Anolis sagrei: one gene and its partners. The protein of the gene in region 1 purifies or fractionates together with the protein of each later gene. This does not show direct contact. Links are inferred from orthologs where the notes say so. Each region holds a gene or a part of one and is shown in the gene's direction. Other genes may lie near its edges. The genes, in order: NPM1, RPS8, DDX21 and H1-10.

The links.
Region 2: the proteins of NPM1 (region 1) and RPS8 purify together in Homo sapiens (affinity purification with mass spectrometry; 3 studies listed by BioGRID and IntAct, with this or other methods). This does not show direct contact. The link is inferred for Anolis sagrei from reciprocal best matches to the Homo sapiens genes NPM1 and RPS8.
Region 3: the proteins of NPM1 (region 1) and DDX21 purify together in Homo sapiens (affinity purification with mass spectrometry; 3 studies listed by BioGRID and IntAct, counting the BioPlex papers as one, with this or other methods). This does not show direct contact. The link is inferred for Anolis sagrei from reciprocal best matches to the Homo sapiens genes NPM1 and DDX21.
Region 4: the proteins of NPM1 (region 1) and H1-10 purify together in Homo sapiens (affinity purification with mass spectrometry; 3 studies listed by BioGRID and IntAct, with this or other methods). This does not show direct contact. The link is inferred for Anolis sagrei from reciprocal best matches to the Homo sapiens genes NPM1 and H1-10.

The regions. Positions count from the first base shown.
Region 1 is NC_090021.1:142,281,745-142,289,214, reverse strand, and holds the start of NPM1 (nucleophosmin), read left to right. Parts: upstream 1-4,451; 5' UTR 4,452-4,554; coding exon 4,555-4,612; intron 4,613-7,470. UniProt on the Homo sapiens protein: Involved in diverse cellular processes such as ribosome biogenesis, centrosome duplication, protein chaperoning, histone assembly, cell proliferation, and regulation of tumor suppressors p53/TP53 and ARF.
Region 2 is NC_090024.1:179,414,610-179,422,207, forward strand, and holds the start of RPS8 (small ribosomal subunit protein eS8), read left to right. Parts: upstream 1-4,584; 5' UTR 4,585-4,756; coding exon 4,757-4,760; intron 4,761-5,462; coding exon 5,463-5,569; intron 5,570-7,598. Other genes in the region: GPBP1L1 (vasculin-like protein 1), read left to right, coding at 226-375. UniProt on the Homo sapiens protein: Component of the small ribosomal subunit. The ribosome is a large ribonucleoprotein complex responsible for the synthesis of proteins in the cell. Part of the small subunit (SSU) processome, first precursor of the small eukaryotic ribosomal subunit.
Region 3 is NC_090023.1:170,859,281-170,866,956, forward strand, and holds the start of DDX21 (nucleolar RNA helicase 2), read left to right. Parts: upstream 1-4,667; 5' UTR 4,668-4,682; coding exon 4,683-5,018; intron 5,019-7,676.
Region 4 is NC_090022.1:56,400,409-56,407,095, forward strand, and holds H1-10 (histone H1.10), read left to right. Parts: upstream 1-4,471; 5' UTR 4,472-4,601; coding exon 4,602-5,327; 3' UTR 5,328-6,179; downstream 6,180-6,687.

The DNA.
Region 1 (7,470 bases):
AACCAAGACTCATGTCCATTTATTGAGAAGATTTACCTCTGAAGAAGCAGCTGAAGATATTGGAAGAAAGGATTCTGGTTGGGGTAATGAGTTACTCTTTTTAAAAAGTGCCTCAAATAAAAAGCCAAGCCTCAGCAACATGGGATACATGTAATGTGGCCTTCTTCAGGAGATAAAAACTAATGCATAAATAACAACTGGTGTTGCCCAGGTGTTATTTGGACTGCTGCTTGCCTACTTTCTCCATTTCTGCAGCTCTGCATGGGCCTACCTCACAATGTTTCCGTGGCAACATGGCTCTCTTTGTGGCTCTTTCCTCCCTCCCTCGTTTCCCAGTGATATCACAGAGGGCCACTTCAACTAGCAACAGCCTTTGTGGTACAAACATACTTGGATTATATATAGATGATTATTACTATAACTAGAAACAAAGGCCCCTTCCACACAGCTGAATAAAATCCTGCATGACAGGATTGCATTGCCTGTAAGGGAGGCTCTTGCCAGGAGATTCCTTCAAGATATGGGGGTTCTGTGCGGGAATTTTGGTCTAATTCTATCATTGATGGGGTTCAGAATTCTCTTTGATTCACATTTGGGCATACTGGCATATTTGTGCCAAGTTTGGTCCAGATCTATCATTGCTTGAGTCCACAGTGCTCTCTGGATGTAGGTGAACTACAACTCCCAAACTCAAGATCAATACTCACCAAATCCTTCTAGTATTTTCTGTTGGTCATGGGAGTTCTGTGTGCCAAGTGTGGTTCAGTTCCATCGTTGGTGGAGTTCAGAATGCTCTTTGATTGTAGGTGAACTATCAAGCCCATCAATCACAACTCCCAAATGACAAAATCAGTGCCTCCCCCAACCCTACCAGTATTCAAATTTGCGTGTATTGGATACTTGCATCAAATTTGCTCCTGTAAATGAAAATACATCCTGCATGAGTCCCTCTATGGAGGTAGAGAAGATTAGGATATAAAAGTTTTAAGTAAATAATAAATATATATTAGATATTTACATTATGATTCATAACAGTAGCAAGATTGCGGTTATGAAGTAGCAACGAAAATAATTTAATGGTTTGGGGTCACCACAACATGAGGAAATATATTAAGGGGTTGTGGCATTAGGAAGGTTGAGAAACTTTAGTTTACATTTAGTCCCTGAGGGTTAACGTGTCAAGTCTCAATATCCAATCCATTTTTTTAAAACAGAGCCCTCACATTATCTGGGAGAAATGTTTCTCAAGCACCAAATGGGCTTCTAAAGTAAAGAAATGACTACTGAAGGCCCCTTCCACACATCTGAATAAAATCCCACATTATCTGCTTTGAACTGGAATATGTGGAAGTGTGGACTCAGATAACCCAGTTCAAAGCAGGTATTGTGGGATTCTCTGACTTGGTATTCTGGCTTTATATTGTGTGGAAGGGCCCTAAATTAGTGCTTACCAGGTCTCCCCTAGGGGTCTTGGGGTGCATCTACACTGTTGAATTAATGCAGTTTGAGACTTGCTGCTATGGACTTATGGGAGTTGGAATTTGGAAAGGCAATAGCCCTTCTTGGCCCCTTCCACACAGCTGTATGAAATCCACACTGAACTGGATTATTATATGGCAGTGAGGACTCAGATAATCCAGCTCAAAGCAGATATTGTGAATGATATTCTGGGTTATATGGCTGTGTAGAAGTGCTCTTTGTCAGAGAGGTCTAAAGACCTTGTAAAACTGCAACTTCCATGATTCCACAGCACTGAGTCATGGCAGTTCATATTGTGTCAAACAGCATTAATTCTGAAGTGTGATTAATACCACAAGGCCCCTTCCACGCAGTTAAGTAAAATCCCACATCTGCTGTGAATTGGGTTATATGGCAGTGTGGACTCGGCGCCCTTCCACACAGCCATATAACTCAGAATATCAAAGTGGAAAATCCCACAATACCTGATTTGAACTGGGTTATCTGAGTCCACACTGCCATATAACCCACTTCAAAGCATGTGTGGGATTTTATCCAGCTGTACAGAAGGGCCCTCAGATAGCCCACTTCAAAGCAAAGGGACAAAACAATCTTCAGGCGGGGGGGGGGGGGGGGCTTTTATTTTATCATCTCACCGCTGCCACCAATTGAAATGGAAAGCAGGGCAATCTTCAGGTAGGGTGGATCATTTCTTCCATCATCCCACCGCTGCCACCAATTGAAACAAAGTAGGGCACTCTTCAGGCAGGGGGGTCTTTTATTTTATCATCCCACCGCTGTCACCAATTGAAACGAGCAACCACTTCAGCAGGGTGGACCTTTACTTTGTTATCCCACCATTTGTGTCCCTTTAAGTTGGAGGTGAGAGGTTGACAGACTTTGCTTAAATTGAAACAGTAACTGTTAAGTTTATTTGCATTGTTGTGACAAAGGCGTGCTGGTTTGCAAGAGTATAAATGCTTGTTAGTTACAAAAATGTGAATATTCCTTTATGAAGATGATACATTCCAGCCTTTTCTTTTTCCCAAAAGGACTTTTTATATTAACACAAGAAAACTGATTTCTAACTGCCTTGAACCTGACATAGAGATCCTGACCACTCGGTCCTTTAAAACCTCTCTACTGTCATTAGCCTCCTGGTATCAGTCAACTACCCTAGGTATCCCCTAGCTAATTTTCCAGCTGCCTCCAGCTGCTTACTTACTTAGGCGATCCCTCGTAGTCCAAGGATGATGGTCCTCCAAGTGTAGTGTCCTGGCAGTGGGTCTGTAGGTGACTGTGGAGCCCTATTCTTGATCTGCATCTTCTTTCGCAGTGAGGGCATTGGTTTCCAGGTGGAAGGCGGTCCCGGTCGGGGTTGGCTTGATGCGCCTTCCTCTTGGCACGTTTCTCTCTTTCACCTTCCATTCGTGCCTCTTCAAATTCTACAGCACTGCTGGTAATGGCTGACCTCCACCTGGAGTGCTCAAGGGCCAGGGCTTCCCAGTTCTCAGTGTCTATGCCAGAGTTTTTAAATTGGCTTTGAGCCCATCTTTGAATCTCTTTTCCTGTCCACCAACATTCCGTTTTCCATTCTTGAGTTCGGAATAGAGCAATTGCTTTGGGAGACGGAGGTCGGGCATCCAGACAATGTGGCCGGTCCAGTGGAGTTGATGGCAGAGGACCATCGCTTCAATGCTGGTGGTCTTTACTTCTTCCAGCACGTTGACATTTGTCCGCTTGTCTTCCCAAGAGATTTGCAGGAATTTTCGGAGGCAGCACTGATGGAATGGTTCCAGGAGTTGCATGTGACATCTGTAGACTGTCCACGTCTTGCAGGCACATAACAGGGTTGGGAGGACAATAGCTTTATAAACAAGCACTTTGGTATCCCTACGTATGTCCCAGTCCTCAAACACTCTCTGCTTCATTCGGAAAAAAGCTGCACTCGCAGAGCTCAGGCAGTGTTGTATTTTGATGTCAATGCCGAATTTTGTGGAGAGATAGCTGCCAAGGTAGCCGAAATGGTCAACATTTTCTAATGTTACACCATTAAGTTGTATTTCTGGCATTGGAGAGGGATTGGCTGGTGACTGCTGGCAGAGCACTTTAGTTTTCTCAATGTTTAATGACAGGCTGAGCTTCTTGTAAGCTTCTGCGAAGGTGTTTAGAGTGGCTTGTAGGTCATCTTCTGAATGTGCACAGACGTTGTCATCAGCATAACTAACTCAGACTCCAGCTAACTCACCAACTGACCCTTTTCAAACCAACATTCTTTTCTCCATTGGCAGTTGGCTCCGCCCCTTTCTTTTCTGCCTGGAAGCTATGTTGCTATGGCAATGCCTAGGCCTGAGGCCACCAATCAGCTGACAATAATAAACATACCTAAAACCTACATTTTAATTATACATTTTGTTACACCTGCCTTGATATTGTGGGTTATATGGCTGTGTGGAAGGGCCCTCAGATAACCCAGTTCAAATCAGATGTTGTGGATGACATGCCTTGACATTGTGGGCTAGATTACTGTGTGGAAGGGCCTCTTAGTCAGCTGCCAGAAAACAACATCAACTAAGAAAGCTATTAGGGCCCTTCCACACAGCCCTCTAACCCAGAACATCAAGGCAGATCATCCACAATATCTGCTTTGAACTGGGTTAGCCGAGTCCACACTGCCGTATGAGCCAGTTCAATGTGGGACTTTATATTGCTGCGTGAAAGGGCCCCTAGAGGAGGAATGGAGCGATACAAGGCGCCGCCATCTTGCTCGGTGGGCTGCTGCGCGTCTTCTCGCTCTCTCAAGAGACGCACAAGGTGGAAGTTGGGACGCGCATGCGCGGAGCAGAGGGCTCCTTCGCTCCCTTTTTGGCCCCCGCTTGCCTGGCGACCGCGTGCGCCCCTTCCGAGCACGCTCGCGCCTGCGCACCCAGCCAGCGGATGGGCCAGAGCATCACTTCTCGCGAGACCTACGAGGGCTATATATTGGGGGAAGGGAAAAGAGGCGGGCCCTTTTCTGCGGGTGCGCTAATTCCGTCCGTTAGACCCAGCAAGCGCCCTTCGGCTGAGGAGAGAGAGAGAGACGACGCTGTTGAGGAGATGGAAGACACCGACATGGACAGCATGGGCTCCCTTCGGCCACAGACCTTCCTCTTCGGTAACCATCCCGCGCCCCCCCTCACGCTGCCTTCCCTGGCTCGCCATGAGGCCTTCCCACGTGGCTTGGGCCTCCCTTAACCTCGGGGTCTTGCGGGCCTCCTTTGTCCTCCCTTCGTCCTCAGGCTGGACGGGAAAGGGAATCTGCCGCCACCTCATGAGGCTTGGGCCTAGCCGTCTTCCATGTGGCCTGTGGAGCGAGAAGGAAGGCCCCAAGCCTCTCGGCCCCGAATCTAGCCCGAATCAAGCTCTTCTTTACTTGATTCTCCCTCTGCAATAGGATCCGTGCGCCTTGGGGCATGATTATTATCGAGAAGGCGAGCTCGCTGCCTCTCCTAGGTTAGGATTTCAAAGCAAGATGGGGCTCCCTTCCAACTCCATTATTGCTCCATCTCAGAAAAAGCCACAGGACCCCCTATATCCCAGAATATCTGCCTTGAACTGGGTTATCCATACTGCCATATATTCCAGTTCAAAGCAGAACATGTGGGATTTTATTCAGCTGTGTGGAAGGGGCCCAGCCTCCTGCAAGAATCATGCAAGGCCTCAGGCCACTTCCACACCACTCTATATCCCACTATCTAATTCCAGATTATCTACTTTGAATAGGATTATTACTATTATTATGCTTATAATAATAATAATAATAATTCCTGCAAGAATCATGGATAGAATCATAGAGTTGGAAGAGACCTCATGGGCCATCCAGTCCAACCCTCTGCCAAGAAGCAGGAATATTGCATTCAAAGCACCCCCAAAAGATGGCCATCCGGCCTCTGTTTAAAAGCATCCAAAGAGGGACCCTCCACCACACTCCGGGGCAGAGAGTTCCACTGCTGAACGGCTCTCACAGTCAAGAAGTTCTTCCTCATGTTCAGATGGAATCTCCTGCTAGGCCTTAGGCCACTTCCACTCCACCCTATATCCCACAATCTAATCCCAGATTATCTACTTTGAATAGAATCATAGAATCAAAGAGTTGGAAGAGACCTCATGGGCCATCCAGTCCAACCCCCTGCCAAGAAGCAGGAATATTGCATTCAAATCACCCCTGACAAATGGCCATCCAGCCTCTGCTTAAAAGCTTCCAAAGAAGGAGCCTCCACCACACTCCGGGGCAGAGAGTTCCACTGCTGAATGGCTCTCACAGTCAGGAAGTTCTTCCTAATGTTCAGATGGAATCTCCTCTCTTGTAGTTTGAAGCCATTGTTCCGCGTCCTAGTCTCCAAGGAAGCAGAAAACAAGCTTGCTCCCTCCTCCCTGTGGCTTCCTCTCACATATTTATACATGGCTATCATATCTCCTCTCAGCCTTCTCTTCTTCAGGCTAAACATGCCCAGTTCCCTAAGCCGCTCCTCATAGGGCTTGTTCTCCAGACCCTTGATCATTTTAGTCGCCCTCCTCTGGACACATTCCAGCTTGTCAATATCTCTCTTGAATTGTGGTGCCCAGAATTGGACACAATATTCCAGATGTGGTCTAACCAAAGCAGAATAGAGGGGTAGTATTATTACTATTACTATGTTTATTTTATACCCCACTTTCTCTCTCCAGAAGATGACTCCAAAGTGGCTTAGTTTTTCCATGCATTTTAAACTCTACAAACATTAAAATGGAATTGAGTAATATCATTGCTATCTCTTTTATGTCCACATCTTTGTTTTCAGGATTGTTCATTATTTAGTTTGTCAGAAGTGACTTGAGAATGTAATAATATATAAAAAACCCCACAAAGTTAAAAACTGGGACTTATCCCAAAATTCCTTTGACCAGAAGTTGGCCACTTGGAATGTCTCTTGTATCGCTGTAAGTAGGTCCTCTATTGTACATGTGACAGGGCTCAGATTGCGTTGTAGTGAGTGGTCTGTGGCTTGCTCTTCTCCACACATGCATGCCATGGACTCCACTTTGTAGCCCAATTTGTTAAGGTTGGCTCGGCATATCGTGGTGTCAGAGAGCATTCTGTTTAGTGTCTTCCAAGTCACCCAACTTTCTGAGTTTCTCTTCTGTTCCCAGCCACTGATTGAGGTTCCAGGTTTTAGCCTGCCACTTTTGGACGCTCGCTTGCTGAGGTTCCAGCGAGTATCTCTGTAGTTATTAGGAAGCTGTTTCTTTATTTAAGATGCTGGCTGATATCTGAACAGAGGATGGGCATGCATATTCAGCAGCGACTTTCATTATTATTATTATTATTATTATTATGTTTATATCTTGTTTTTTCTCTCCATACGGAGACTCGGAGCGGTGCACAACTAAAAGCAACTAAAGCATTGAAATACAACTTAAAATACAAAATACACACATATTAAATACAAAATACACACTTATTAAGCAACATTAATATTAAAAAACAGGTTAAAGCCTTAAAAGTATATAAAATCACAGCAGCCATTTATGGGTTAGTGCTGTACAAGATGTGCCTCTTTGTCTTCTGAGGCTGGATATATACTGCCGTATAATGCCGTTTTAATCTTCATTATATGGCCAGTATAGCTGCAATATGTGAGTCTACACTGACCATGTGATGCAAATTCAGACTGCATTCTATAGCAGTATACATCCAGCCTCTGAGCAGTGCTTTGAATCCCTGGTCCCATAAAAAGTACAGGTATTTTGAGCCTCCATTATCAGAATTCCCCAAATACTCCCAAAATTGTCCTCATGGCTGAGAGTGACTCCTTCACTTTCTGGTGGGTCAGTGTACCCAAACTTGGTCTCATGCTCAAAATTATTAAAACTGATTTGTATAAATTTACCTTGAGGCTTTGTATATAGGCCACATCAGTGGCCTATATACTGTGTATAGAGGTTGAGTCTCCTTTGTCCAGAGCAACTCTGGTTGTTCATACATGAAATGGT
Region 2 (7,598 bases), on another chromosome or scaffold:
CACTATCATTCCAAGGCCAGTGCCCCCCCCCCCCCCCCCACCACCAAAAGCACCTTCTAGTTAGATAGAAAGGGATGGTTGACTTGCATAAGAAACTTTGACAAAAGAAGCTTCTTTGTCAGAGGCTTTATTAACTGAGGTATACCTGTAACTGAAGTATGATGTGCTTGTTCTTAACTGTATAAAGAAGAGAAATAAATACAAACTTATTTGTTCTTCCTCCAGCTCAGAAGAAATGGCTTTAGAAAGAATGGATTTCTTCAAGGCCGTTGCAGCAGTCAACTGTTCTCCCACTGGAGAAGCACTTTTAAGACAGATTTTGAAGCATCAGATACAGAGACAAGTAGCAGTGAAACTTCAGACGACGATGCCTGAAAAGGGGCACCAAAAACCCACAGTATAAAACCAACCCAGCAAACTCAGTTTGTAGTTTAGCACATTAATGTTTGGGGTTCAAATGAAGCAGAGTTTATTCTGTCTCAAGTCTGTTCAGTTTCTTTTTTATTGTTGAAAACTTCATGCACAAGGGAAAGAATTATATCCCAAAGAAGAAAGCTATTGGCTTATTACTTTTTGGTTTTGCCCTTCTATGCTTCATAGAAAACAGTCCGTGCAGATGGGTGGACCACTGGTCTTCTGGGACAAGGCCTCAGTTCAGTCTCATCAGAAGCAGGATGTAAGGGACTGGGTTGGGCAGCCACAAGCTTCTTATACTGCCGTCCACATGGCAAAATGCTGTGCGGCAATAATGTGCTAAAACAATCATTGTCAATGACAAAATGGCTATGGAAGTTCTAATTGTGTTAAATTAATGCTAATAACATGGAACTTTTTATTTTTTTGGCGGCTCGGGGAGCTTCATCACTTAACCAGGCGTGTTTGGTTTTTCTTTTTTTGGGTACAGCTGTAAAATATTTGGATATAGGAATCGTTTGTGTTCTTCTTGCAACCTTGATATTCAGGGTGGATTGTAAAATATAAATTTTTGTGGGATTTCAAAGATTAAGATTATTTTGATAACATTATTTACAGATTTAAAAAAGTGACTATCACATTGAGTCTGTATGAGGGGAAAAAACTACTGCATCAGAAGATAACTAACTTGGAATAAATATTTTGCATCAGTTTGCCAATTATGTGTCTGTCATTTTTGAAGATATTCTAATAAGGTAACTTTGAATTTGTTAGTATTTTGCTTTGGGTGTTCACAGAGTAGTTCTTCCTTAAAGGCTCATCATTAGTAATTCCGTATATGCTTTTTAATGTAGAAAGTAGTACTGGAATAAATTTTTATCATAATTTTAAAAAACCCAGTTCTATATGCAGATAAATTTTACATAGGGAAGAAAATAATGAACAAGAGCAGCCAACGAGTGACAGAGAAGATAATATTGATTATAAGTGGAAGATCATGAACTCATACTTAAGCTTTTATTTAGGGCACCATAAGGAATTTATATCTAATAGCTTTTACTTATGTCATAGGAATGAAAGAATCTAGTCAGCGTTCTGCATTTGCTGATTCAATTTTTGTGGATTTGCTTTCTCTTAAGAGCTTCTAGGTCATCAATCTTAAGTGCACCTTATAATCAGTGGTGCTTTGAAATCACTGGTTTTGGGTTCTTTTTTAACTTTGTCTTACGTCTGATAGAGGAAGAGGAGGAGGGGCCCTAGCCCACACCACTTTGCCCTCTGGCTCAGCCAGATAGCTTTACTGTTTTCTGCTTCCCATGCTTTCTAATGGGCCCACAGAACTAGGAAGATAGAGTAATACAGACAAGATGTCTTCTGGGTTGAAACAAAGGTACTGTGCATGCAGAGAACATTCTAAAAAATAGCGATTTTTCCCAAAAATTGAAGCTTCAAAAAGAGGGGACTATACCTTACATTTTATGGCACCTTCAATTTGGTGAAATACAGTATATGGCAAAAATAAGGGGTTTGGCACCTAAAAGTCTGCAGAGTTAACCCCTTACCAGTGGTATCACTAATGGTGTATGGGGTGGGTGCATGCAAACTGCACAGGATGGCACCAAAATGAATGTGTAGTGTTTCAGTAGATTTTCTTAAAAACTCAAATACCCTTGTAGTTACTATAACCACAAAAACATTTTTGTGAGCTTAGCTCAGCTACAGTGATTCTTCAAATCACATGGTTTTGTCTCAGTGGCTAAAGCACACCATTTTTTTGCTGGTTTTGTATAGCCACTGATTGTCAGACTTCCATGTATTTTAGTTACAATACTCTGGCCTGGTATGGGAAGGGATCCATGGGGATGACATCACTGTTCCAACACCACTGTTCCTTATGTCTGATAGGTCTTTAGAGTCAGTATCTGTTACATGACAACAGTATAGGAGTATACTTTTGGTTATGGATATTAAATGGAACCCTAACATTGAACTAATGGCTGTACAGTGCTGTGTTACTTCTTCCTACTGAAGCTAGCAAGAGTGAAAGACATTTAAGCATGAAAATATTTGTCACTTGAAAAGAATCCAGGTCATATATAATCCTCACTCAGCCCTTTCTAGGAACTGTAATAGTACCCTACCAGGACCAGGCCTTTGCCCTGAGGGTGTGCTTAAAGGATTCAAGACACTCCTGGTGTGAAAGCAACCTGATAATCTGTTCAATAAAGTCATCTCTGGCATGTGGGCAGACAAGGTATAATAAAGGGCATTCCAGAACTAGCTCCTGAGTCTACTGCAGCAAGAAACAAATTTACTATGTCTAAAACTGTTTTTTGTTTGTTTGTTATATATATGAACATGTTGTGGATGTCTACTGAAAACAATACCTAAATAGATACATTAGACATTGCTCTTGGAACACATACACAACATGAAATATAGGTAGCATAAATTAGTATTTATATGTAGCGCTCAAATATACAAGGTACACAAAGTTCAAACTGGTGACCTTTGGCAGTTTTTTTTTTTTTTACTATTCTTGAGAATTCCATGAAGACCCAGGTAAAACAAAATATTGTCTAAACTGTATTTCAGCAATTTCATACTTTAAAAGAGAATGGGAACCACTAGTCACTTTTTTGCTGATTTACAGGCAGGCTGGCATCAGCATGAAGTGAGGAGGAAAATAGGAACAAAAAGAAGGAAGATCATGAGAATATAAGAAAAGATGAGGCAAAGAAGGAAAGAATGAGGGAGTGTGGGAAAGGGGGTAGGCCAGGCAATAATAATAAATGCTCCTCAAGAGAGCAGGAGCAGAGATCACTGCTTCTGGTGCTCTGCCTCCTTCCAAATGGATAGCCTGGCTGTTTTATTCAGTGAACTCGTGGCAATAAAGAGACCTCATTATAGATGTTTTGTTTATTCATCTACCCTAAAGATCATGGAGTAAAGCTTAATGATCAGATCGCTATGAATCAGGACCTCACTCCCCCCCCCCCCCCAAATAAATCAGTGCTTGCTATAAAAATAGTTCCTAGGCTGGAACATAGTAGCAGCATCTAGCAGATAAGCAATATTATGCCCTCTAGTTTGACCAGATTTGAAGAATATTGCTCTAAGTGCCCATGCAGTTTCCTGCAATTTGGAAAAGTTAATAGATATTATTAAAGTATTGTGGTTTTGCAAAAATTCCAATCAGTAAAATACACGTGTGCTTGGATGACAAGCCGCAAGCGACTCTTGCTTAGTGCATAATGCCTACTAATATCACCAAGTCCTGCCCTCATCACCAGGGAGTCAGGTTTTGACCAGAAATATCATGGTTTGAAATGTTCCTAATCCAGCCTGTTTGAAAGTCTCCACCACACTCCGGGGCAGAGAGTTCCACCAGAACATTATTCCTCATGTTCAGGTGGAATATCCTTTCCTGTAGTTTGAAGCCTAATCTCCAGGGCAGCAGAAAACAAGCTTGCTCCCTCCTCCCTATGACTTCCCCTCACATGTTTATACATCTCTCCTCTCAGCCTTCTCTTCTGCAGGCTAAACATGCCCCGCTCTTTAAGCTGCTCCTCATAGGGCTGCCTTGGTTAGACCACACCTGGAATACTGTGTCCAATTCTGGGCACCACGATTGAAGGGAGATGTTGACAAGCTGGAATGTGTCCAGAGGAGGGCGACTAAAATGATCAAGGGTCTGGAGAACAAGCCCTATGAGGATCGGCTTAAAAGAGCTGGACATGTTTAGCCTGAAGAAGGGAAGGCTGAGAGGAGACATGATAGCCATATATAAATATGTGAGAGGAAGTCACAGCGAGGAGGGAGCAAACTTGTTTTCTGCTGCCCTGGAGACTAGGACTTCAAACTACAAGAAAGGAGATTCCATTTGAACATGAGGAAGAACTTCCTGACTGTGAGAGCTGTTCAGCGGGGGGACTCTCTGCCCCGGAGTGTGGTGAAGGCTCCTTCTTTGGAGGCTTTTAAACAGAGACTGGATGGTCATCTGTCGGGGGTGCTTTAAAGGCGATTTTCCTGCTTCTTGGCAGGGGGGGGGGTGGACTGGATGGCCCGCGAGGTCTCTTCCAACTCTATGATTAGTAATAATAACAAAAGCCCTGACAATTCTCTGGACGATGCAAAAAGTTCCTCTGTGAATTAAACCCCCAAAATAGCTCCTGCCTGTACTTTCTTGTCCGTTTGTGATGACGTTCATAGGTTCAAGCCAACGCCGCGCTTCGAAATCCCGTGCGGGAGGGGGGAAGAAGTATCGCGAGGCTTCCTGGGCCACATCCCGCCCCGTGAGGCCTTGCGCCTTCCTCTTTGCAGTGGGCGCCTCCGGAGAAGGATGGGTGAGTGGCTGCCGGCGCGGCGAGAGGGGGAATCCGCCGCCATCCGGCCCCGCGTCCGCCTCAACGGAGATGTAATGTGGTTAATGGGGGAAAGGACGGTCTTAACAACACGGATGGGGCGTTATCGTGCGGTGTTTTCGGTTGCGGTGGAGAAAAAAAGGCCTCTAGGCCGAGGATAGGCGGCCAGTGTATCAACAGGGCATAGGCCCAAGCCGCAATGGCGGCTTGGGCCTATGCCCTGTTGATATACTGGCCGCCTATCCTCGGCCCAGAGGAGGCCTTTTCCTATCCCACAGGCCGTGTGTTCCTTCGCCTGGAGTTCCCGTGATGAAGCTTCCTAAAGCCGACTGTCTTCTGGGGAGACATTTTACCTTGGAGAGCTGAGTAACTCAGGCCTTAAGGAATCCTTTCCTGGTGGGAAACAATACTGCACACTTTGGGTGCATCATCTACACTGTGGAACGAATGCAGTTTGATGCTACTTTTAACTCCCATGGCTCAGTGCTGTGGTATCACGGGATTTGTAGTTTTACAAGGTCTTTAGCTTTCTCTGCTGTGCCCTCCAAGCTACAACTCTGGGAATCCTATAGCACCGAGCCATGCCAGCTAAAGTGGGGGCAAACTGCATGCGTTCTATAGTGTAGATGCACCCTTTAATGTATTTTTGATGTCACATTTTTTTTTTTTGGTCTGCCCACACAGGTATCTCCAGGGACAACTGGCACAAGCGCCGCAAAACTGGGGGGAAGCGCAAACCCTATCATAAGAAGAGGAAGTATGAGTTGGGGCGACCCCCTGCCAATACCAAAGTAAGCCACTCTTTATTGTTGTACCTCTCCGTTTATGTTTTATCCTGAATGGGAATGTTTCAGCTTTTAATATATGTATTTTTTTCCACTCCCATTTTTATTTGGAATTAGAAAAGTCCACAGTCACCACGTGACCTATAGAGTTTGCATATTTCCTTTGTCAAACTTAAGTTTCATTTTATTTAAAATTTCCCCCCTCTACTTTTCATTTTTCCCCCTTTTTTAAGGCCAATACTGTTCTCTGCTTAATTATTCTTTTATTATTTTTGTTAGTTCTTTGTATGTCTCCCCACAACCTTGCCTTCAGGAAAACAAAACGAAACACATGGTTTCGCTGCCCCATTACAGTTTGTTTTCAATCACCTTGTCATGAAGACACAGCAAAAAAGGGGGTACACAGGTGGAGTCACTATGCTTTGCTTGCATACCCATCTCATAGACACACGCATTTTCAGCCTCAAAAACCTTCCCTTGTTTTTTTTCTAATTACACTCCCTCCCCTTTCTCGTGCCTTCCTCCCAAGTTGCACTTGCTTTGAAACATTAGGGGAAAATACGCAACATTGAACAAAGACAAAAACACTCTTTGCTTTTCTGTTTTGGTTTTCTTTCTGCTCCTAGTCCTCATTGTATTTTTTCCCCTCAGATTTGAAACTGTGACTTCTGGAGTGAATGTGTCGGTGTGTGCATGTGTGTATATGACATGGGTATGCGAGCTTTTAATATATGTATTTTAATGGGTTTTTTAAAACTTTATTTTGCTTTATGTGTTTTAACTATATTGTACCCTGTATTGAGCTGTGAGGAGAGGCAGGTAACATTAAATCTATTATTCTAGTAATTACTAAATAAATAAATGCTATTTGTATTCCACTGTATCTCCCCAAAAGAACTCCGACCTGATTCCAGCAAAACAACAACAAAAAAATACAAAGGGCAGACATTCAATGCCATAATACATTCATCAAAACAAATACAAATAACGAACCAACCAGTTCCCAACATAAACCAACATCTGAGACAAACTTGTAACTCAAAATTAAATAATAACATAACCTATAACATCACATCTCACCTAAAAACATTAAAGACATTTAACATAAATGTATAGAAAATCACAATTAAACATTCAATTAAAATAGTTATTAAATTATTATGCAGTCGAAAAGCCAACAAAGTTGACTGAACCAGAACCAACAGAGCCAGAGTATAATACGATTTGTTGTCAGAGGTATATTAACTATATGTAAACTTCTAATCCTCCTGGATTTTTACTCCTTACCAGAATTGGACCTCCGAAATGCCACTTTCTCATGATGCAGCCTGAAAGATTCCCTGAAAGCGATTTGTTAGGTTGAGTTAATTATTCTCAGAAAAAAAATATTTTATCTAACAAAGGTCTAACGAGTACAATGTGTAACACAATTTTTGTTCCTGGCTTATAAACGTCATTTCCTAATTGGTTCTATCATTTTAAAAAGGAGAACGTTTACTAAACTGCAAAAACTCTGCTATAGCTTTCAAGTGAATATCTCATTGAGTTTCAATCAATGCCTTCAACAACACAATTCAGTATAGTTTGTGGTTACAAAAAACCCCCAAAGTATCTGGAGTATAACAACTACTTTCAAAGTAGGTACTGCACAATGAAACACGAATATCACTTTCTCGACCAGCAACAGAAATATTTTATTTGAAAACTGCACAGACGCTTAAGAGTTTGCAGCATTACCTGCAGAGTGTGTGTTCATGAGTGTCATAGAGTTTTCTTAGGCAAGAAATTCTCTTCCTCTGAAATAATAGCCTACAGCACCTGGTGTGCCTTAGCAGTCTCTCATCCAGGTTCTAATCAGACCTCACTTTGCTTAACTTCCTAGACTGGATCTGGTGCCTTTGGGGGTATTTAGGCCACAACAAATGTGAGAAAGACTAATATGAGACAGCACTTGAAATAGTTTCCTTAAAATCTAGCTTGCTCCCCGTAAAGAGTCAGCATTGATTCCCATCTTGTACTCTCCTGTATGTAGTCT
Region 3 (7,676 bases), on another chromosome or scaffold:
TGGAATTAAATTGTAATATATTTGCCTTTAGTGGCCACACAGAAATCCAAGATGTTTCGTTTGCTTTAGGCTCTAGTGCAGTGGTTCTCAACCTGGGGTCCCCAGATGTTTTTAGCCTACAACTCCCAGAAATCCCAGCCAGTTTACCAGCTGTTAGGATTTCTGGGAGTTGAAGGCCAAAAACATCTGGGGACCCAGGTTGAGAACCACTGCTCTAGTGTATTCGTCTAACGCAGTGATCTTATGGGGGTTCTGCAGACACACCCCAAATCTGGAGTCATTTTTCCCAGCTGCTCATTGATCTTATTACCTCCTATCCATACACTAAAAAAATTAAAATCACTTCCTTCTGTCAGTTAGGTATTCGGTTTTGTGCCCTGTGGGGCCCCTGTCCCTTATCCCATCCATTTTTCCCATGGGACATAGGGGTCTGCCTAAATCAGTGCTGCCTTATTTAAAATTGACTGATATGAGGATATAAAGGAGAACATCTTAATCCTGTGTACTTTGTTCACTTTGCTCATACTGAAAATGTCAAGCACCCTGCTATTAGCCATCAAGTTGGTTTTGATTTACAGTATGTAAATGAATGAGAGACTTCTGAGACAAAGTGACTTCCTTTACAGTGTAATGTAATGGGATCTTCCTACTGCTTTTCAAACCTTATTGCAGGCATCCTCAAACTGTGGCCCTCCAGCAGTTTGGCCCCCCAACTCCCAGAATTCCTGACCATTAAACAAACTGGCTAAACCTTCTGGGAGTTGGAGGCCTAAACAGCTTTTTTAATGGATGCTGTAAAGGAAGAGGAATGAATAAACGACAAATCTTATATAAATAAAAATGTAATGTTCGTTTGTGGTATTCACAGAACTCAACACCCACTGGACGAATTGACATCAAATTTGGACACAAGACACCTAACAACCCAATATATGTCCTTCACTCAAAAAAAATTGCTTTTGTCAATTTTGTCCCTTGCTCCCCCTTTTATTTTCCTTCTCCTCTCTCTCCTTTCTATCTTCTCTCCCTCTTTCGTTCCTTCCTTCCTTTGCTTTCTTTCCCTCCCTCTTTCTTTCTCTCCTTTCTTCTCTCCCTCTTCCCTTCCTTCCCTTCTTGACCACTTGCCTGGTGCTGGCAGGAAGGGAGCCTCGCAGCCAGGCGCGGTGCAGGCAGGAGGGAGGTGCTTTCGAGGCAGGCCAGCACCGCCCCTTCTTTTTTCTGCCATGGCCTTCCTGCCTGTTTGCCGGTTGGGCACGCAGGCAGGGTCACATGAAAGGCGCCTTGCAGCTGCAGCAGGAAGAAGGAGCTTGTCGGGATTGGCAGCTTGCAACAGATTTTCCTTCGCGTGGGGGGGAGGGGACATTCGCGCATGCGCTGTTATGAATTTTTGGCTTCTTTGGGGGATTAAGGTTAATTTTTTTTGTTTTATTGAGTGAAGGACATAGATTGCTTTGTGTGCTGTCTTGTGTCCAAATTTGGTGTCAATTTGCCCAGCGGTTTTTGAGTTCTGTGAATACCACAAATGAACATTACATTTTTATTTATATAGACTAGCCGTCCCCTGCCACGCATTGCTGTGGCCCACATGGGGGTTCTGTGTGGGAGGTCTGGCCCAATTCTATCATTGGTGGGATTCAGAAAAATCTGTGATTGTAGGTGAACTATAAATCCCAGCAACTACAACTCCGAAATGTCAAGATTCTATTTTCCCCATACTCCACCAGTGTTCACATTTGTGCTTATTGAGTATTCGTATAGTTTGGTCCAGATCCATCATTGTTTGTGTCCACAGTGATCTCTGGATGTAGGTGAACTACAACTCCAAAACCAAAGGACACTGGCCACCAAATCCTTCCAGTATTTTCTGTTGGTCATGGGAGAACTGTGTGCCAAGTTTGGTTCAATACCATTGTTGGTGGAGTTCAGAGTGCTCTTTGATTGTAGGTGTATTATAAATCTCAGCAACTACAACTCCCAAATGACAAAATCATTTTTTTGAGTGAAGGACATACATTGGGATGTTAGGTGTACGCTGTCCAAATTTGGTGTCAATTCGTCAATATTGAAATCTGAAAGATATACTGAAAGTCTTTGCTTGCAACATTTTTTTCCTTGCATTTGTTCCTGTTGAACTTCATATTATTATTATTATTATTATTATTATTATCTTTATTTGTACCCCGCTAGCATCTCCCGAAGGACTCGATGCGGCTTACAAAGGCCAAGGCCTCAAAACACAACATAACAATACGCAACCTAAATCAAATCAAAAACAGTTAAAGCAATATTAAAACAACAAGCAATAAACCAATACACAATAAAACTGGGCCGGGCCAGAGTATTTATTTATCGTGTCATCAGCAACCATTGTATTACAATTCTAACAGAGCAAAACAAACACAGAGATTAAAAAGAAAAAGAAAAAAAGAAAGAAAAAAAACCCACACAGATTTTGCAAATTTGGTATTTGGGCCAGAGTAATGGGTACAGATTAAAAGTGCTGATGTGGCAGGTGATATGTAGGATTATAGGGCAAGTTCAGTGTGCCAACAATCTTAATTTCTACTAAAGTGCTCTTGGGACTTGTTGGAGGATTCCTATTCTGGAAAGGCACATCGGAACAGCCAGGTCTTCAAATTCTTCCTAAAGACTGCCAACGTAGGAGCCTGTCTAAGATCTTTGGGGAGGGTGTTCCAGAGTTGGGGGGCCACCACAGAAAAGGCCCTGTCTCGCGTCCCCACCAGACGTGTCTGAGACCCAGGCGGAATTGCAAGCAGGGCCTCTCCGGATGAACGAAGTGAGCGCGTGGGTTCATAGACGGAGATGCGGTCACGCAGGTAGGCTGGTCCCAAACCATTTAGGGCTTTGTAGGTCAGCACCTGCACCTTAAATTGGGCTCGGAAAATAAACGGCAGCCAAAGGAGCTCCTTGAACAGGAGGGTTGACCTCTCTCTGTAAGGAGCACCAGTTAATTTATTATTTATTTACTTGTATACCGCAGTTTCTCAGCCCAACAGGCGACTCAACGCGGTTTACAACAAGGATAAAAATCAATCAACGATATACAATTTAAAACCATAAAAGCATAATATACAATATTGACACAACAATAGACAACACAATGCATCTCATAACTGTTAACATCCTGGCCGCTGCCCATTGCACCAATTGAAATTTCCGAGCCATTTTCAAGGGCAGCCCCACGTAGAGTGCATTACAGTAGTCCAGTCTAGAGCTGACCAAGGCATGGACCACCCCGGCCAGATCAGCCTTTGAGAGGTACGGTTGCAGTTGGCGCACAAGTCTCAATTGTGCAAAAGCCCTCCCGGACACCGCCGATTTTGTCAGTTTTGGCCAATCATCTCTCCAATCTGTGAAGCTCGTTTTGAATCCTGCTCCTCTTTAGCTTATTTATTTCTCGTGTCAGGGCAGCCAGTCAGTTATATTACATTTCTAACAGAACAAAGCAAACAAACAGAGAAAATACAAAATGTGTGTTTGATAGTTGATTAAATGTCCCTTGACCAGTATCTGGCCACTTGGAGTGCTTTTGGTGTTGCTGCAAAAAGATCCTCCATTGTGCATGTGGCAGGGCTCAGGTTGCATTGCAGCAGGTGGTCTGTGGTTTGCTCCTCTCCACACTCGCATGTTGTGGATTCCACATTTCTGAAGGTTGGCTCTGCATCTCGTGGTGCCAGAGCGCAGTCTGTTCAGCGCCTTCCAAGTCGCCCAGTCCTCTGTGTGCCCAGGGGGGAGTTTCTCATTTGGTATCAGCCATTGGTTGAGGTTCTGGGTTTGAGCCTGCCACTTTTGGACTCTTGCTTGCTGAGGTGTTCCAGCGAGTGTCTCTGTCTGGATTTAAGTCGTTGACGTGCTAGCTGATACCCAAACAGGGGATGAGCTGGAGATGTCACTGCCTTGGTCCTTTCACTATTGGCTGCCACTTCCTGGCGGATGTCAGGTGGTGCGATACTGCCTAAGCAGTGTAATTTCTCCAGTGGTGTAGGGCGCAGACACCCTGTGATAATGCGGCATGTCTCATTAAGAGCCACATCCACTGTTTTAGTGTGGTGAGATGTGGGTTGTTGTAGGTTTTTCCGGCTATATGGGCATGTTCTGGAGGCAATTTTTCTCCTCAGAGAAAAGGCAAGCATCCTCAGAGGTAGTGAGGTGTGTTGGAAGTAGGAAAAATGGGTTTATATATCTGTGGAATAACCAGGGTGAGACAAAGGACTTTTGTCTGCTGGGGCTAATGTGAATGTTTCAGCTGATCACCTTGATTAGATCACCTTGGTGAGATGTGTTCCACACTGGGCATGCATACTCAGCAGCAGAGTAGCACAGCGCAAGGGCGGATGTCTTCACTGTGTCTGGTTGTGATCCCCAGGTTGTGCCAGTCAGCTTTCGTATGATATTGTTTCTAGCACCCACTTTTTGCTTGATGTTGAGGCAATTCCTCTTTAGCTGGGAATAGTAGAGACCCCGCCCCACACTACATTTCCCAGAGTTCTGCGCGAGGCAGAAGAGGCGCGTGGGCGTCCTCTTTCAAACGCCGGTCTGACGAGAGACACTCTTTCCCTGGCGCCCCCTCAAGGCGGGCCCCTGAACTGCGGGAAGGCAGGCCTCACCCGGCGCTCCTCTTCCCGGCCGCGGCCTAGTCAGGGCTGAGGCGCCGGTGGGGCATGGGCTGGTGGTGCCGCTGCCTGGCGCAGTCCCGGAAGGCCCTCCGCCTGGCCCCGGCCTGCTGGAGGGCGCCATTTTGCGCCGCCCCCCTCAGCCGCGCGCCGCCTCCCCCCTCCTCCCCCTCCCCCTCCCTCCTCTTGGGCGGGGCGGAGCTGCTCCTTCCTTTCACGCCGGCCTCGGCCCCGACCAGCCGCTTCTGCCACCAGCTCCGCGGCGGAGATTGCCAGGCCATGCCCGCAGCCCCCCGCCCCGACGACAACGACGACAACGAGATGGAGCTCGAGGCCGCCCTGGAGCCCGAGGACGCCCTGGAGAGCGGAGGGAAGAAGCGCAAGGTACGCGGCGAGGGGGAAGGACGGAAAGAGGGAAGGACAAGGCCCAGGCGCTTACGTAAGGCCGACCGGGCCTCGTGGCTGACGGGAAGGAGAAGCCGGCCTCCGAGCCGGAAGCGCGGCCTGTTCGTGGCGCAGAGAAGTCAACCAAGAGGAGGCCTCTCTTTCCCACGGGCCTTCCCGCCCCCTCCAAAGTCCCTTAGAGTTAGGCCTCGCCACCCGCGTTTGTGTTCTACGGCCTTTCTGTTCCGCCTTCGCTGTTGCGCACGTGGCGGGCTTTCCCCTCCCCGTCCCACGACGCAGACATTTCCTTTAAAACAACAACAAAACTGTTCCCGTTTTGAAAGTGTTGTTTCTTGTTTAATTGTCCCCAGAGTATATTTCCTCACCCGTATGAAGGTCTATATTTATAACCCCGTTCCTTTACGAGTTTCCCCCCAACATCCCTGTCTCATCCTGATTTTAGTATTTTTAGTATCTTAGTTTTTATTTTGCTCATTGTTATGTTATTTTATTTTACCGTGTTATGATTTTGCTTTATCGTCTTTGTACTCATATGTTGTATTATTATTATTATTAAACTTTATTTGTACCCCGTTAGCATCTCCCGAAGGACTCAATGCAGCTTACAAAGGCCAAGGCCTCAGCACAACAACAACAGACAATAACAATACGATACAAAGCAAATTAAAAACATAAGCAATAACAAAACATTACACTATTACACAATAAAAACCAGGGCCAGGCCAGTGATGGGTACAGGTTAAAAAGGGCTGGGTGTGGCAGGTGGTATGTTGGAATTCTGGGCAAGTGCAATGTGCAGAGAGTCTTAAACTCTAATACAGTGCTTCTGGGACATAGTGCTGAGGGTTATCCTATTCCGGAAAGGCACATCAGAATAGCCAGGTCTTCAAGTTCTTCCTAAAGACTGCCAATGTGGGTGCTAGTCTAATGTCTTTGGGGAGGGTGTTCCAAAGTCGGGAGGCAACCACAGAGAAGGCCCTGTCCCTCGTCCCCACCAAATGCACCTGCGATGCAGGTGGAATCGTGAGCAGGCCCTCTCCGGATGAATGAAGGGAGAATGTGGGTTCATATACGGAGATGCGGTCACGCAGGTAGGCAGGTCCCAAACCGTTTAGGGCTTTGTAGGTAAGCACCTGCCCCTTGAATTGGGCTCGGTAGGTAAACGGCAGCCAATGGAGCTCCTTAAACAGGAGGGTTGACCTCTCTCTGTAAGGAGCGCCAGTTAACATCCTGACCGCCGCCCGTTGGACCAGTTGGAATTTCCGAGCCGTTTTCAAAGGCAGCCCCACGTAGAGCACATTACAGTAATCCAATCAAGAGGTGACCAAGGCATGGACCACCCCGGCCAAATCAACCTTTGCGAAGTACGGTCGCAGCTGGCGCACAAGTCTTAGCTGTGCAAAAGCCCTCCCGGCCACCGCCGACGCCTGAGCCTCAAGCGTAAATGATGAATCCAGGAGAACTCCCAAGCTGCGGACCTGTGACTTCAGGGGGAGTGTAACCCAGTCCAGCACAGGTTGCATTTTATTGTGTTGTTATTGGTTTTACATTATTGTAATATGCTGTTGGGCTTGGCCTCATGTAAACCGCCCCGAGTCCCCATTGGGGAGATGGTGGAGGGGTATTAAATAACGTTTATTATTATTATTATACTTCTTATTATTATTCTTCTTATTCTTATTATTATGCGGTCCTGACTTTAAAAGTAGTTAATAATAATAATAATAATAATAATAACACTTTATTTGTACCCCCTACCATCTGCCCAAGGGACTCGGTGCGGCTTACATGAGGTCGAGCCCAAATACAACAATACAAGCAATAAAACAACAATACAAGCAATAAAAAAACAATACAAGCAATAAAAAACATAATAAAATATACAACATTATCAATAAGACAACACACAGTTAAAAACAGTGGGAAGGCCCAAATGTAAGGTTAAAATTAGAAGTAATGCTGGGACATGGACAAAAAGGTGATACACATATATATACACACACAACACATATACACAGAATGGGCCACAGCAACGCATGGCAGGGGACGGCTAGTGAGAACATAAAAATAATGACAGATGCAATAATAATAAAGCACCTACTTCAGTTTAAAACTTTCCCTGTCTAAAGTATACTGCACTTATAGCTCTAATACAATTTTTCTTTACATACTGTTATTTACCTCTATCTGCTTTCCCTTTATTTCTCCTAGTGTAATCATTGTTTGATTTTTGTATGTTATGAATGGTTCCATTCAAAATACGTATGGCTCTCTGGGTGTAAGATACACATGGGTCTTCGGTTGTGGGTGGATTGCTCCCATCCTTCTCCCTCACATAACCCAACCCAGTCAGTATTTAAAGTTGGGTCTGTCTACCAAGATGGATCCAGATCCATTCTTGGTGGGTTCACAGGGCTCCCTGGAAGTGGGCAGACTACAATTCCCATCATCCTGGGTCATCCCACAGACATGTTACCAGTATTTTAAGATGGCCATGATGGGTATGTTTGGCCCAGATCCATCGTTGCTGTCCATGACGGGGCTCTCTGGATGTGAGAGCCATCCTGGAAAATATATATTTTGAGATAGATAGGGTTTTTTTTAAACATTTTCTTAGCTTGTAATAGTACATTGGAT
Region 4 (6,687 bases), on another chromosome or scaffold:
GCAATTTTAGAATTTTTTTAATACTGGTAGCCAGATTTTGTTCATTTTCATGGTTTCTTCCTTTCTGTTGAAATTGTCCGCATGTTGCCATAGAACGTCAGGAGAAATGCCTCTAGAACATGGCCATATAGCCCGAAAAAACCCACAAGAACTGAGTGATTCCGGCCATGAAAGCCTTCGACAATACAGTAGTTTCCTCATTAAAAGCCTTATCTGTCACAAAAGGCTGAAAGCTTATTTAAATAAAAAGGTCTTTACCTGCTGGTACAAAGGCAGCAGGGAGGGGACTAGACTTCCAGGGTAAAGGACTTTCATAACTTAGGAGCAGCTGCTGAGAAGGCTCTCCCTCTTATGTGCTCACTAGATCTGCCTAAGATGAGGCTGGGACTGCCTATAGGGAGACCTCAGTGGACCTAAGCAAAGTAGGATTATAAAGGTCACAGCCAGCACTTTGAATTTGGCCCAGACATTGAGTTGTTTCAGCTGGGGTAGAGATACTGTATGATCCTTAACAGCTGCCTGTCATGCTGATGATGCCCAGCTTCAAAACTGGAGATAACCTCTCCCATTAATTTCATGTTGACGTCAAAGGCCAACTGTGTAATACCCCTTGCCTTTTTTCAGTGGAGATTTAAACAAGAGTATCAAAGACCAGGGTAGGAACTCTAACGTTCCAGATGCGTTGAACTGTTTGTCTGGAGCAGTGGTACCCAACCTGCGGTCCATGGAGCACCAGTGGTCCACAAGAATGAAAATATGGTCCACAGCCTCATAATTACTACACCATTGCCTTGAAACCACACGGCAACGAGAGCAACTGGTCTCGCAAACCCTCTTATAGTGCCGAGGCAACAGGGATGTCGGGAGGGGAGAGGCTGACTACCCACGAACGATTACTTCTACACATCAGCTCTAGATTATTAAATACTGTTTTCTGTGGGTAAGCAGATGGCAACTACTGGATGGCATGTGTTCTACATCAGAAACCAGAGCTGATGTGGTCTATCCAATGCAGTTTTCTGAATCAGTACCCTGAATAACCAAATCTAAAGTTGATTAAAACTGATTCCTAACCCTTTTGGTACTAATGTGAGAGAGTGGTCCCTGGTCCAAAAAAAAGGGTTGGGAACCACTGATCTAGAGTCTGTAAAGCCCCTCAAAGCAGTACTGGACTCCCTGGTGGCCCTCCATACCAGTCAGGTCGAAGTGGTCAGGAGCAGCCCTTCTTGTCCCTTTGAGAACCTAAGAAGCTGAGTGAGATGATGGTCCAGGGGCAGAAAGCAGGTTCCTGTTCCCCAAAAGTCACGACCCGGGAAGGGTGGGCAGGAAAGGGTGGGGAAACCAAGGAGGAGGGGGGAGGACGCCTCAGATTTGGGGAGGGGAATGGGAGGGCGGACATGGCGCCGGGAGAGACCCCCGCCCGAGCTGCCTTTTTGCAGAAGCCAAATGGAGAGGAGGGAGAGGAAGCGGGGAAGGAGAGGAAGACGAGGAGGAGAGAGAGAGAGGCAACTTTTCCTGCACCGGAGAAATAGCATTGGTGATGGAGGAGGAGGAAGGGGCGGATTCCTCCGCTCTTGGGAGCCTTCAAGGTCTTCCTTTTACAGAAAGCAATTCTCCTTCCCCCCTCCCCCGAGAACCAACGCTACCCTCCCCCCCCCTCTCCCCCCCCCCCCGCCACCTCTCAAAGCCTTGCCCCCGCCGTTTTCTTCCTGGAGGCGCTCTCTTCCCCCCCCCCCCCCCACCTCCTGTTCTCCGCCTCCTGTGGTCTTCCCCACCCGCCATTTAAAGGGGCAGAAGCACGGCGTTGTCACTGAACCCCTCAGAAAGATGCGGGGAGGAGACTATGAGGCCCCGAAAGGGCAGTAAGAGGCGACAAGGAAAAGCAGCCCGGGTAGCCATGGCCTCTCACCTCCAAAGAGACGTGGATGGGAAGCCAGTCCAGAGAAATGTGGGCGGCCCTGCACTGGAAACACAGCCACCCCTACCCCGCCCATCGCCTTTTGGGAACCAAGAGAACACTGGGTCTGTGGGCGAGGGAGAGTCGAGACACGCTCGCCACAAAACCCACCTCATTGAAATCACCTTCTGGTCCGGTCTTGGAAACTAAGCAAGGCCTGCCCTGGTTGGTATTTGGATGGGAGTCCACTAATGAGTACCAGGTGCAGCAAGCTATACCCCAGGGAAAGGAACTGGCAAAACACCTCTTGAGTATTGCTTGCGGAAGAAAACCCTGTGACAGGCATGTAGCCGGGGGGGGGGGGGGGCGGCCTCGGGGGGCTTCAGCCCCCCCCCCCCCCCCCGAAATTTTCATGGTGGTTCGCGAAAAGGCCTTACTGGTGCATTATTTAAACTGTTATGTTTATTCATATCATGATCTGATCACCATACTCAATATATCCCATATGCATGGGGGTATTGGGGTAATGATACAAAAGGTTTGCTAGGCTAGACCCTCTTTCACTCAGACTCACCCCCCCCACCCGAAACTCAGCCCCCCCCCGAAACCCCCCCTGAAAAAAAACGAAACGAAATCCTGGCTACGGGCCTGCCCTGTGAAATGGACAGGGTTGCCATAAACTACGGGGTATTTAAAAGACCACACATAGAAAGAAAGAAGAACAGGAAGTGGGCCACCATGAGCACGCCCTTGGGAGACCCCAGTCCCCCTTCTCCCAATCCCGCTTTTTAAACGAACCATAGATTGAAAGGTGGCCATTTAGTCCAACACCCTGCTAGGCTAGGATACACAACTAAAAATGACTGTCTAACCTCTTTTTTTGGAGTAGGCATGGGCCAACTTGGGCCCTCCCTCCCGGTGTTTTGGACTTTAACTCCCACCATTCCGCTTAAGCGGCTGAGGGGGGAAAGGAAAGGGCCTGAGGCTGTGAGGAATGGTGGGAGTTAAAGGAGGGAGTGCCCAAGTTGACCCATGCCTGCCTTAGAGGGGAAAGCACCCCCCACAGAGAGCCATCCAAACCTCCATCCTCCAAGGCTGTACTTCCACTGTATTGTCGAAGACTTTAATGGCCAGAATCACTAGGCTACTGTGATTTCCTGCACCGGAGAAATAGCATTGGATATATGGCCATGTTCAAGAAGCATTCTCTCCTGACGTTTCACCTGCATCTATGGCAGACATCCACAGAAGTTGAGAGATTTGTTAGAAACAAAGTAAGTGAGGTGTGTGTATGTATGTATGTGTGTGTGTATATATGTATATATGTATATATCTGTAGAATGGGGTGGGGTTGAGCTCGACTGTTGAGCCTATTGAGTATTCCTTGCTGAAGAAAATCCTGTGAAATGGACAGGGTTGTCATAAACTACTGTGTATTTCAAATAAAGAATAACAGGAAGTGTGCCATCATGAACACCTCCCCCCCCCCCCCCTTGGGAGACCCCAGTCCCCCTTCTCCCAATCCCGCTTTTTAAACTGGAATCATAGATTGAAAGGTGGCTTTTGGGGGGGGGGGGGGGTGTTGAAGTCCAAAACACAAGAAGGGCCCAGGTTGGCCCATGCCTACTCTAAAAAAAGAGGTTGGACAGTCATTTTGTAGTTGTGTATCCTAGCCTAGCAGGGTGTTGGACTAAATGGCCACCTTTTATTCTTTCTTTTAAATACCCAGTAGTTTATGGTAACGCTGTCCATTTCACAGGGTGGCTATTTAGGGGGGAGGGGGAGTTGAAGTCTAAAAAACAAGAAGGAAGGGCCCAAATTAGCCTATGCCTACTCTAAAAAAAGAGGCCGGACAGTCATTTTTAGTTTTCTAGCCTAGCAGGGTGTTGGACTACATGGCCACCTTTCAGGCTATGATTTCAGTTTAAAAGGCGGGATTGGGAGAAGGGGGACTGGGGTCTTCCAAGGGAGTGCTCATGGTGGCCCACTTCCTGTTATTCTTTCTTTTAAATACCCCGTAGTTTATGGCAACCCTGTCAATTTCACAGGGTTTTCTTCAGCAAGGAATACTCAAGAGGGTCAACAGTGGAGGGTGGGGTTGAGCCTCTTTAAATGCCAAGCGCTTCTTCCTAAAGTGGAGGTGGGATCTTGTTTTCCCCGCTGTCATTTGAATCCATTGCTGCCGACCGGCCGCGCGAGGGCGTCCCGTGTGTTAGTTCCCACAAATTAACCGGCCTCCCCCTCACCTCCAAAGCGGCCCCGGCGGATCCGAGCCGGACGATTGGACAGAGGGCCCTCTTCTCTGCCCCGCAAGCGCGTTCACGGGCCCGGGAATCCTTTGGGCGGCGACCCAGAGGCCCACGAACAGGGCGCCCCCCTCCTCCGCCTGCGCCCAGCATAGGGAGCGCCCCCAAAATGGCCCGAGAGGGGCCTTTCCCGGCCTAGCAGCGCCGCCACACCCCCGCAGCCGCCTGGGGCTCCGCCTGGGGAAGCGGGCCGCGCTACTGCGGTGTCTCTGCATGCCTTGAGGCGAGCGGGAGAGCTCCGCGAAGGGCCTTGGAAAAGCACAACTCGGAGCGGGCCTCTTGGGCTCTTGTTGTTGTTCTCAACACGGTCCGCTAGTGGAGTATATAAAGAGCTGCGGCAGCGCGCGCGGCCTCAGAACGCGGTTTGCGAGCGGAGCGGGAAGGTCTTCGGCGGCTGGATGTTATCGTTTTCGGCCATGTCTGTGGAGCTGGAAGAAGCCGATTTGCCGTTGACGGAGGCCGAGGAGGCGCCCTTGGCTCCCGAGAAGAAAGGCGCCGGCGCCGCCGCCAAGAAGGCCTCGGCCTTGTCTCCCTCGAAGAAGAAGAAGAACAGCAAGAAGAAGAACCAGCCCGGGAAGTACAGCCAGCTGGTGGTGGAGTCCATTCGGAAGCTAGGCGAGCGCAATGGCTCCTCGCTGGCCAAGATCTACAACGAGGCCAAGAAGGTGCCTTGGTTCGACCAGCAGAACGGCCGCACTTACCTCAAGTACTCCATCAAGGCCTTGGTGCAGAACGACACCCTCCTCCAGGTCAAAGGCACCGGCGCCAATGGCTCCTTCAAGCTGAACCGAAAGAAGCTCGAAGGCGGAGCGGGAGAAGGAGGAGGGCCCGCCATCGCGCCCCACGTTAAGCCCCACAAAAAGGCCGCCGCGGTGGTCGCGACGCCCCCGAAGAAAGCCGAGAAGAAGCCCAAGGCGCTGGAGAAGAAGTCGTCGCACAAGAAGGGCGCCTCCCCGTCCCCAGCCGCCGCCAAGAAAGAGAAAGCCAAGGCCAAGAAGGCGGGGGCGGCGGCGGGCAAGAAGAGCGGCGCCCCTTCGCCCTCTTCCTCCGCCTCCGCCTCCTCGCCCGCCGCCAAGAAGGCCAAGAAGGCCGCCAAGCCCAAGCCCCTCAAGAGCAGGAAGTGAGGGAGAAGGAGGAGAAGGAAGAAGGGAAAGGCCGCCCTCCTTTCCTAGGACTCAGACTGCGCTCGAAGCACAGAGCCACCTTTTTTTTCACCCTCGCTTCGGTTGTGTTTACTTTTGGGGGGCAGGCAAAGGACACTTTTCCCTCCATGTTTTTTTGGATATGTTTTGTCGTCAAGGTTGCTTTTTTATCCTTGCTCGTGTTATACCAGGATGGGGGCCTTGGAGGTGTTTTGGACTTCAACTCCCAGCATTCCTCACAGCCTCAGGCCCCTTCCTTTTCTAGGGAGGAGGGGGCAAGCTTGTTTTCTGCTGCCCGGAAGACTAGGACGCAATGGAACGATGGCTTCAAACATTTGAAAGGAAGGGGCCTGAGGCTGTGAAGAATGCTGGGAGTTGAAGTCCAAAACACCTCCAAGGCCCAAGTTTCCCCATGGCTGTGTTATACTGTTCTGGAAGACCCATATTTTTGTGTGTCGGTGGAGAGGGGAGGGTGGGGGTCCTATTTCGCTTTTTTTCTTGATTTATTCAGTGACTGTCGCGTATCTGAGCCTCAATTCGTTTATTGGCTTCCATTTCCTCTTGAATTGGGGGGGGGTGCCTTTGAGAGAGCTTCCAGCAGCTGAGGGGGCGCCTCGTGTCGCCATGGCAACCTGGCCTCCCACCACCCCCGCCCCCCTTTTTTGTAATTGAAAGGACCTAGTCGGAGAGGGAGACGCCCCCCTTTGCCTCCATCTTGTACTGTACTGCCTTCATGTCTTCGATTGCCTTTTTTTAAAGGAGGGTATTTGTGTTTTCTTTTGTGGGAAGGGGAGGGATGGGGTTTTTTGTCAATAAATGGTATTTTAAAAAGCATTTTTCATTCGCTGCTTGCTCGCTGTTTATGAAGGGGGGAGGTCAGGGGTGTAGCGTCATGAAGAGGAAGCTTCAGCTGCAGGGTTGGAGAATTAAATATATGTGAGGAAGTCCTAGGGAGGAGGGAGCAAGCTTGTTTTCTGCTGCCCTGGAGACTAGGACGCAGAATAAAGGCTTCAAACGACAAGAAAGGAGATTCAATCTGAACATTAGGAAGAACTTCCTGATAGCCGTTCAGCAGTGGAACTTTCTGCCCTGGAGTGTGGTGGAGGCTTAAACAGAGGCTGGATGGCCATCTGTCGGGGGTGCTTTAAATGCAATTTTCCTGCTTCCTGGCAGGGGGTTGGACTGGATGGCCCATAAGGTCTCTTCCAACTCAATGATTTTATGTAGAGATGCTTCCCCCTCTTCTTAAAGTGGTTCCTCCCTTGAGTCCAGCGCCAGTAAAGGGGGCGATGGGAGAACCCACTTTAAGAAAAGGGGAAGGTACCATTCTTTCCAATAATAA